Linked DNA regions of Nothobranchius furzeri. The protein of the gene in region 3 purifies or fractionates together with the protein of the main gene of each other region. This does not show direct contact. Links are inferred from orthologs where the notes say so. Each region holds a gene or a part of one and is shown on either strand. Other genes may lie near its edges. The genes, in order: sugt1, dyrk1ab and lrch3.

Region 1 (3,659 bases), on a different chromosome or scaffold from region 3:
AGTATACATGTGTAAGAAGCCCTTCTAATGGGCCCCCCTGAGGAAACACCCCAGAGCTAGCCCATCTTTGTTCCACGCACGCTGTGGTGAGACACAGGCTGTCTCCACCTCTGCTGCATTCCAGGGTGGCTTCATACCTCTTTTTCTGCAAAGTTGACACGCACTCCCTCCTTGGGAACGTTTTTTGCCATAACCGTGACGATGACTTGAGACTCTGTTTGATACCAGTCATGCCTGAAAGAAAGAGATTTAAAAGCCTCAATACCACATAAAACAGATCATTTTATTCAGATTTATCTGTAATATTAATCTGGTTTGCATCCGCGAAAATAAACATTTTCAAAACTGGATATTTACGATGCATCATCAACCTCTTTTAGAGGAGACCCGTTGGGTTTTTGTGGACTTACTTAACAGGTGGAGCGGCTGGCGTCTGCAGGGTCATTGAGCCACAGGGAGGGGATGACAGAGGCAAAATCATGTGAAACAAAACAAATGAAGGAACCATTAAAAAGCAGCTTGATAAGGCTTCGTGTGCAGATCTAATCTGATACTGAGAGCAACAATGCCCCCAAGTGGCCTCACAAAGAAACCCACCATGTCGGCGCTGCTGGTTTGTGTCTGCTCTGTGGGACAGAGAGAGGAACAGAGGAGAAAAATATCAGGTGCGGTAAAGTTAAATCCATTTAACCCGCCTGATAAAACTCAATCATCAGAATAGATTCACTGCAAAGAGCCAAGCCTTCGCCACCAGTTTGTTTACTGGTCCATCCACGCCCACTAAAAGCCCAGTGAGCCCAAGCAAGCCTGAGCGCCGTTTACCAGCGTGCTTTCATCCATTATTCACGGCCTTCATTTGATCGAGCGGGCTCAGAGAGAGATGAAGTGATAGGAGGCGTGTTAATGTTGTCTTAATGAGGTCGCGTTTGAAATGGGGGGCTGGGGGTACGAGGAGGAAGTTGTTGGTCTCCGTGTGAAGTCAGACGCATGAGCTGCCACGTGATGGAATAACCAGGTGGCATATGTGTTGCTTGGTGGTAAACACGCTGTCGCCTGAAGTAGACACTGCTCGTGGCATGTGCATGAGCAAGTAGGGGTGTGTGTGTGTGTGCGTGCGTGCGTGCGTGGGTGTGTGTGTGTGTGTGTGTGTGTGTGTGTGTGTGTGTGTGTGTGTGTGTGTGTGTGTGTGTGTGTGTGTGTGTGTGTGTGTGTGTGTGTGTGTGTGTGTGTGTGTGTGTGTGTGTGTGTGTGTGTGTGTGTGTGTGTGTGTGTGTGTAGTGAGAGAACAGGCTTTTAGGGGGGTTTGTCTCATTGGGGTTTTCAAACATCAGCAGCGTTAACGCTGATGAATCACACTGCTCTCGGGAGTGTGTGTGCACGCGGGTGCGAAGCGTGTTTGTCAAACCTCATGTTCCTGTTTACTCGCTGATAATCCAGAGGACCGAAGCAGCACCGGCAAACACAAACACATGCCACCAAGACATGGCATGCATCTTTTATTGGACTAAGCAGCTCTGAATATCCACGGATGTGTGTGTGCGTGCTCTTGGTTTTGATCAGACTGGCTGATCTGCTCCCTGACTGTGCCATTTAACTTCAACTTGAATAATTAAAGAAAACATACAACTAAGTTAGTGGAAGTAGTTCTCAACTTTGTTCGACCTAAAACTGCCAAACACATTCTTGTTTACGAACAACTGATGAATCAGAAAGTTTTCCATCTTGTTTTATTCACCCGAACACCAAAGATGTGTGTATCATCGGAGATAAAACCTAACAGATTCAAATCGCATGTGGGCCAACTCGAAGACTAATGCAGAAAGAAAGAAGTGAGCTACTTACTCCCCATCATCTCCTCACACCGCTTGATCCAGACTTCAAATGATTTGTCAGAAACTGCAAAAAGAATAAATATGCTGCTTAGGTGGCTTTCCTGTTTTAGTTAGGGAAGTTAAAATTTATCTACAACACACAACTGGATCAGTAATGTGTCGCTATCAGAGATGTTCCCTAGATTACAGTTATGGCTTTAAAGTCTGTAAGAGGTAATCCCCTCTGATCACCACCAGCAGGCAATGAGAGTGAAGTGTATTGCTCAAGGACACAAAAGCAGAATTCCCTGCAGAGAGCTGGGATTGATCCTGCAACCTTTCCATCACTGGACAATAGAGGTGCTGAAAAAAACCGATTCAAGTCCGAATCGGGATTCTTATTTATAAAGGTTCCGATTCGATTCCAAGAACTCAAATATTTGGCATGTTACAGGTCTGAGAAGCACTTTTTTGATGTTTGTTAGGAGAGTCAGTACTCCGTTTACGTTTGTGGTCCCATAAATTGAGATGATTTGTTTGAATCTGCTGATAAGAGGGCACTTGAATGTCATTTTTTCCATACTCAGAAATTTGAGATTTTCTCATATTTATTTTCTAAGTTGATAAATGAGTACTCAGGATTACTCATGTAACTTGTTTCTACACATACTTGAAAAGTATTTGACCGTATTACTTTCAAAGCTACTGTTAGGTAACTACAGATTTGTTATATTTTACAAGGGAAGCAAAAATAAATGTTGCCTTTTGGTCAAAAGATTGTTTCTGTTTACAGTTTTAGAATCACTTTAGTTTACATCGTAAATTTGCATTTTTGGAGCATGACCAGTTTAAAGTCAACTAAAAATGCCCCATAGCTTTAACTAACTTGTACAACAAAGTAGTTCATCCTGGAGCTGACACTCTTTGTTAATACTGATTGTGAATCGATTTAAATTGAGAATCGAGAATCGAATCGGCACCCCAAGAATCGGAATTGAATCAAACTGTGAGTTACTCCAAGATTCACATCCCTACTGGACAACCTCCTGAGCTTCTGCTGCTCTACATGTATTGGGTTTCTGGACTCGGGTCACAGTTTAGCCTCAGAACACATCCATGAATAAGAAATGGTACCTACGCACCATCCCTGAGGAACTCCTCCAACCATCCAACAACAGTTTGGTGATGAACAGTAACTTTTCCAACATAATGGAGTACCATGTCTAATGGTGGGAGTCAGAATTTGGTGGCTCAAGGTACAAAACCTGTACATTTTGTAAGATTGGTGCAAATTGTAATGAAACATGACAGTTCAGATTTTTTTAAATGTAACAAATTATAGGTACACATCATGTGCATTGTTGTTGACTGTTTGAGTTGTCCCTGTGGCACTAAAGCAAAAACATATTAAGAAATTGTTCAAACTGACAAAATTGTTAGTGTTCTTGTTTTTTGTGGCGATAAAAAAAAAAGAAAATAATTAAGTGAATTGGTTTTCTTGCATTTGTCAAAAAACTTCAACCAATAACACGGCTCAGTCTGAAAGCAACGATTGGATGATCCGGTTGTCTGTCTCACTGAACCATCGCACTTCCCTGGGTCCTCACACATTACACACTCACATATTTAGCAACAGAACACCGCTGGTGTGAGAGCTTCTCTGCTCATTAACATCAGAGAAGGAGAACCAGCCGGCTGCTACCACTTCTACTTTAGGACAAACTACCAGAGTCGCAAAAAGAAAAGCACCATTTGAAGTCACGGGCAACAAAAGATGTTTGGACTTAGAAAATGGAGACTGGTGTTTAGCGCTATCTTGTTTCCTCTGGCGATTTGGGTTTCCATATC
Region 2 (2,549 bases), about 5.6 Mb from region 3:
TGTTCATCTGATCCACCTGAGGAGGTGAGCAAATCGTGTTACTTCTTTATACACAATAAATGCTGTAAAATACATCATCTAAAAAACCAAATGGTTCAGAATGTTTTAAGGTTATGAAGTCTTCTTTTCTATCTCCAATGGTTACACAATCAGATTTAAAATGCAGACACAAGATGAAAGCATTTGTCATCCTTCACTGAAATATGACCACCTAGCTAATGTTTCAGATTGTTATACCTCATTGGCTCCACTAAAGAGAGGCTCTCCAGTGTGCATCTCCACCAAGATGCAACCCAAGGACCACATATCGATGGCCAGGTCATAGGGCATTCCCAGCAGCACTTCTGGGGAACGGTAGAAGCGACTCTGGATATACTGGTATATCTATACACAAAACACACATAAGGGACAAATTAAAAAAAATAAAAAAACGTAAAAAAAATAAATAAATAACCCACAAACAGTTACTTATTGACTTTATTGCACCCAACTGACTCATAGCTGATGAGAAATACTGCTGCTAATTACCCTTTGTCCCAGTTGGCATGAACTGCCAAAGTCCACTATTTTGATGGCACTCCTCTTTGGGTTACAGAGGAGGATGTTCTCGGGCTTCAGGTCACAGTGGATGATGCTGAGCTCAGGCGTGGCCAGGAAGAGTAGCGCCGTGCATAGCTGCTGGGCAAACTTCCGGGTGAGATTGAGCGAGACTCCGCGGAAGTTGGTATTTCGGAGCAGGTCGTATAAGTTATACGACAGCATCTCGAACACGAGGCAGAGGTGGTTCCGAAACATGAAGTGTCGCTTTAAATGAACTGCAGAAAAAGCAAATTATGTCCATGTTAGTCAGTAACAAACCCCCTGGCCTTTTATTTTTCTGATCAGATTAGATGCTAATTTCAAGAGTGGATTACCAATGTAGTATTTCATCTCGGTATCATGTTTGTTCATCAACTCCAAGAGGCGCACTTCTATCTGGGCTTGATTGAGGAAAGCTTTCTTGTTCTTGATGATCTTAATGGCAACCCATTCCTGCTCGACTCGGTCATACGCTTTCACAACCTAAACACGCCAACGACAAACAGTTTACAGTTTGCTCAGCATGAAGTTTTTACGGATTAGTTTTGATATTAACGTTTAGGGTCAATAATCACAAAAGAAAATGTACAGAAATGCTGGTTAATACTTTTAGAAAGAACATTGTATTCTTATGAATCAAATAAACGTTTGAGTGGAACTGATAGTGAAGCACCTGTCCAAACGATCCTTTTCCTATCAAGGAATCAATTTCATAGCGGTCCATCCATTTCTCCCCATTCTTGACGATGTAGTCATAGTTATCATCGTCATAGCCATCATTGAACACTTTCCTCTCCTTTTTATGACTGGAGTCTTCACCCTGACCCTGTTGGTGCCGTCGCTTCTTTTTTGCATAATACACCTGTAAGTTAACACATTACATCCCATAACCACACACACAAGTCTTTGACGAGCTAATGAAACACACAATGATCTTTGTTAAGTTGAATCTTCTAATGGATTATTTTATCATGATCTCACCAACATGACTTTGTTTTATTCAATAAAAATGCAGTAAATTAAAACATGTTGCATTTTGTTTCGTCTCAGCAAAAGTAAAAATCTAAAAGACATTTAAAAAAAAAGCTGCAGTAACTTTAATTGTAAGCATATCCAATATGATTAAAAGTATAGCTGGTTAACTCTTTCAGCTGCTAAAGTAAATAATTAGTTTAGATTTAAATGCATCAAAACAAACTAAAAAAACAAACCTCATTGATGTGTTTGTATGTTTTGATAAGGTCGATGGAGAGCTTCCTCAGGGGAGCTGAAGTTGGGTCACGAAAGCACTGGGGCATGTGCCTCTGGAGTGTCACAGGTAAAGTATTCATGAACAAAAAAACACACGGCAATTTCATAAGAAACAGCATCCTCTTGAATCATTGCAAGTAATGATGGTTAACAAGACGTGATTAAACTGAAAGTGACATTTGACATGTAGCTGCTCTGCCTAGTGACAGTAGAAAAAGGGAAGTAGGCTTTGATATTGGACCCAAAACTGTAAAACCTTGAGGAGCTATGTGGTGGGGTTCGTATACCTGATTGGCAGTGAGCTGTGGTGTCTGGTCGCTGTACGGTAAGACTGTAACAGATTGGTCAGTGCTTGGCTGGTGGCGGTCACTGTACTGCTGGTGCGTATGGGGCATTGGAGCAGCCATCTGAAGACCAGCAGTGTGTAAAGAAAAAGAGGGCGCAAGCCGGACGGACGAAGGTTTGCATGCTGAAGTCTCTCCTCCTAAGAGAAAAGAACAATGTTAGGGAATGTACTTTCACTTCAATCCCCAATATATAAACTGACAAATAACATTAAGAAAGAAAAAGTTTATAAAAAAATGGTATGTTATATTCTCATTTTCATGCTAAACATTTTTTGCATTACAGTTAAAATAAGTGTCATTCAGACTGTACAGATTTAATATAAACTTCTCATTTTTACTATTTCAAAAAAGCAACAAAAACCCTTTACACCT
Region 3 (3,675 bases):
CCTGGGGGAGCCCTCGCTCTTCCAGGATGTGAAGAGGAAGACACAACTTACTCTGCATGAACAGACACCACAGAAGACACAGAGCGAGGGGGTGGGGGGGTGGACAACAGAAAGGTGGGTCAAAGGATGGCAACTTAAAGGAACAAAACACCACTGTAACCATGGCAACAGAAAGATAAACCAACCAAAGGAAGAAAGGAAAGAAAAAATGGAGAGATGAGTGGAGCTGCCAGAGGGGCTGATGGGAATTGAGGTCCAGTAAAACCAGCTGCTTCAGTAGGAAAAGGATGCTTTGAATGATACCAAAGGTCTGGTTCTGACCGGTTCTGGAGAACTGCGATTGTGATCAGACACCTAAACCATGTGGCTGAGCTGAAGTCCAGTCTCAGCCTCTGATGTCTGTGAACTCAGTGTGTTCTGGGTCTGCAGAGTCCAGAACCCACAGGAGGTTCTCTCTGGGCAGCAGAACACAACCTGCTCAGGTGAGTCCCAGATGCTGGAGAGAGACAAAGTGAGTCCAGGTGTTTTCACTGAGTTTATTCAAAGAGGAAAACGGTCCAGCAGAACCGAACCGACACAGAAAAATCATCAGAACTCAGTCCTCCCTCCTCCATTCTAGGGTTTCTAGTTCACAGCTGAAACCAGATCCTGTTCAGGCCCACCAGAACCTCAGATCCATCCATTTTCACCAAAGCAACTTGACTTGGTTAGGAACCAGAACTTTTAAAGGTTTCTCTTCAGTTTTTGGTTTGGAAAACATCCTGCATGTTTACAACAAGAAGAGCAGCAGAACATCGAGTCGGTACAAAATGGGTCACCCAGTCAGTCAGGTCCACATCTTGCCCGGGCCAGTGTCGGACCCAGTTAGGTAAAAATCAGCCAACAAATACGGGCCAGTACCAACGATACAAAGATCACAGTACTCTGATTACAATCCTTGGATCTATAGCTGGACCAGAACTTGAACAGAACCCTGATTACATTCAAGAACTCAATTTAAACAAGCAGAACCAGACTCTAGTTAATTGGCACAGATCAGAGTTCTGGTCCTGCTGGTACCAGCCAGGAAGACCACAAGCGAAAACAGGAAAAAGGTTGTGGAGGTTCTGGTTCTGGGCCCATATAACCAGTAAAAAACACATGACACATAAGGCACAAGTGGGCGGAGCCACAGCAGGCAGGTAACACTTTAGGTGACGGAGCCCAGAGATCACATACAGCACTTGAGCCAGGCCCAGAGGGAACCGGCCCGTTACATTCTGATCCAGAAGTGCGGTCCCAGCCCAGATCTACGTGAACAAACACCAATCCAGATTAACTCCTACCAGCATAACCCCTAGAACCGGTTCTGGTATGAAGCCACTCGTCTCCTCTGGTCATCCAGCCCGACTTGTTGGGTTTCGGTTCTTAAATCTACATTCTCACGTCACACTTTCAAAAAATCAAATCAAAATATTAAAAAAAAGTATTCAAAAGTTCAGCTGGAAAAAATAAGAAAATCAGCAGTTTGTGCTTCCAGAAACAAACATGGCCGACGTGCTGAGGCTATCCTAACGGACCTCTGGTTCTGTTTGTGTGCGCCGCTAAAGAGTCTCAGGATTCTGACAGATTCTCACTATTTTAGGAGCAGTAAAGGTTTAGATGGAATCCTCTAAAGTACCGGTCCGTTTGGGTCTGACCTGAGGTCAGTTCATCATCCTGGGCTAAAGAGAACTGTCAGACCCAACTCCACAGAGGTTCTGATCCCGGTACCCATAGAGTTCTTGTCAGCAGCGATATGTGGTTCTGTTTATGGCACCAGCTGCTGTAAGGAAACATCACGATCAAGTACAGCAGAACAAAACGACCCGGTTCTAGTCCAAAAGGGTGTGGTCAGCTTGGGTCTAACTGAGCAAAACTGCAGAACCCCAAAGAACCGGTCAAAAAACCCTCCACCCCATCTGGGTCAAGCGTGCCCCCCAATCCCAGGAGGACAAGGAACTTATGGCTGTTTAGGATCCAGTTTACTGAAGGACATCATCCGTCCATGTAGGCGGAGACTCGGTACCAGGGGAGTCTGAGTCAGGCCCGCTAACCTGAAGCATCCATTAGGAGGTTGGTGGGTCGTCTCAGACTTGTGGCGCCAGGTGGACATAGATGGCACACAGCGCAGACATGACAGACAGGTAAAAGAGGGCAAAACCAGCCAACTGGACCTGAAGAGAAGAGCTAAGAGGAGGCGGAGCCATGGACAGCAAAACCTCTACAGTCCCATAAAGCCCGCCTCCTTTCCCCCCCAATACATCTCCCACTGAGCAGAGACGGTCCTGAGGTCGGAGGGACATGGACACAATAAAGGATAAAACATGGACGGAGCAAAAAAAAAAAAAAAAAAAAGAAGAAAAAAAAATGAAATGATGAAAGAGAAGAAAAACAGGTTAGTTCAGTGGGAGGAGCTTCAGCAGGTCATCTCATCACTTTCCACCATCGGAGACTGAATCCAAACTTCAGAATAGGGCTGAACAGTTTTAGGAAAAGTTTCAAGTGAGATGTTTGTGGCAGAAATTGTGATTTCATTTCATTTCAATTCACTTAAATGAAAATAAAGGTTTACATTATTCACAATTTTCAAGTAAAACTGGAAGAATGAGAATCTGCTGAAAAATGTCATTCATGTCAGAAATCTGGCTCAGACTGAGAGACCATCTAAAGGCTCAAGAACCTTTACAGGCGTTTAGGATCCATTAGCTGATCAGAGTGTTACACTTTGAGTCTAGAATATTGAACATTTTCGTAATATTCTGATAATCTGAGATTTTTGAAAGCCGATTTACTCAAATAAATTAATTTAACAAACATGACAGGAAATTACATCCCATCAAAACAATTAAAGCCATTACTAATACAATGCAAGGAGGAAAACAGAAGGTAACAATTAGCGTTGGGTACTGAATTCAGTACTTTTTAAGGTATCGACCGAATTCCATAGTACCGACTGAGCACCGATTCACGTCATTTGAAACGGCGCCTCGTTTCGGTACCCGTCCTTCATAACGAGAACTTGCCTAGACAGCTGCGCATGCTCAAGAGCGTTATGTCGTCAGTCGCTGCGAGCGAGTTGTAAACAGAGCAGCATGGTAGAAAGAACGCACGCTAACGCTTGGGTCCACTTCACTAAATGTGACGGGTAATTGGGTGAAGATGAAACCAGTGACAACGATCTAAGTGTGAGGCATCATCGTTTTAATCTGCTCCAGCAGCTAAATAAACTGTTTAAGATAAAGTTAGCTTGATAAATTAGCTTCCATTGCCACCTTTGTTATCAGCTAATGGTGCGTTCGCTTTCTCCTCGGAAATTCTAACTTCCCAGTAGGAAAAATCAAATGAAAAAGGACGGCAAAAGGAATGAAGATACACAGTAAATTTAGTTCACAGTAAAGATGTTTGCTTCAGTTTAATTATCAGCTCATAAAACTACAAGGACGATGTTAAAATACAAACAGTTGTATGTTATTTATCGTGATATTTATCAAATATTGTTATATATTGAGAAAAATAAATATTTAATTATAAAAGAGAATTAAAATATTAAACACTCAAAGTATCTAAAATTGGTACCGTTAAGTACCGGTATCGATTCCTAGGTACCGGGAATTAGTACCGAATCGATTCAAATGTCAAAGGTACCCATCCCTA

What was found.
Region 1: the proteins of lrch3 (region 3) and sugt1 purify together in Homo sapiens (co-immunoprecipitation; 3 studies listed by BioGRID and IntAct, counting the BioPlex papers as one, with this or other methods). This does not show direct contact. The link is inferred for Nothobranchius furzeri from reciprocal best matches to the Homo sapiens genes LRCH3 and SUGT1.
Region 2: the proteins of lrch3 (region 3) and dyrk1ab purify together in Homo sapiens (affinity purification with mass spectrometry; 3 studies listed by BioGRID and IntAct, counting the BioPlex papers as one, with this or other methods). This does not show direct contact. The link is inferred for Nothobranchius furzeri from reciprocal best matches to the Homo sapiens genes LRCH3 and DYRK1A.

What each region holds. Positions count from the first base shown.
Region 1 is NC_091751.1:64,340,113-64,343,771, forward strand, and holds part of sugt1 (protein SGT1 homolog), read right to left. Parts: intron 1,897-3,659; coding exon 1,843-1,896; intron 627-1,842; coding exon 598-626; intron 434-597; coding exon 411-433; intron 235-410; coding exon 138-234; intron 1-137. UniProt on the Homo sapiens protein: May play a role in ubiquitination and subsequent proteasomal degradation of target proteins.
Region 2 is NC_091753.1:50,171,219-50,173,767, reverse strand, and holds part of dyrk1ab (dual-specificity tyrosine-(Y)-phosphorylation regulated kinase 1A, b), read right to left. Parts: intron 2,315-2,549; coding exon 2,118-2,314; intron 1,884-2,117; coding exon 1,791-1,883; intron 1,442-1,790; coding exon 1,253-1,441; intron 1,063-1,252; coding exon 915-1,062; intron 816-914; coding exon 529-815; intron 385-528; coding exon 238-384; intron 17-237; coding exon 1-16. UniProt on the Homo sapiens protein: Dual-specificity kinase which possesses both serine/threonine and tyrosine kinase activities. Exhibits a substrate preference for proline at position P+1 and arginine at position P-3.
Region 3 is NC_091753.1:55,769,370-55,773,044, reverse strand, and holds the end of lrch3 (DISP complex protein LRCH3), read right to left. Parts: intron 2,307-3,675; coding exon 2,109-2,306; 3' UTR 523-2,108; downstream 1-522. UniProt on the Homo sapiens protein: As part of the DISP complex, may regulate the association of septins with actin and thereby regulate the actin cytoskeleton.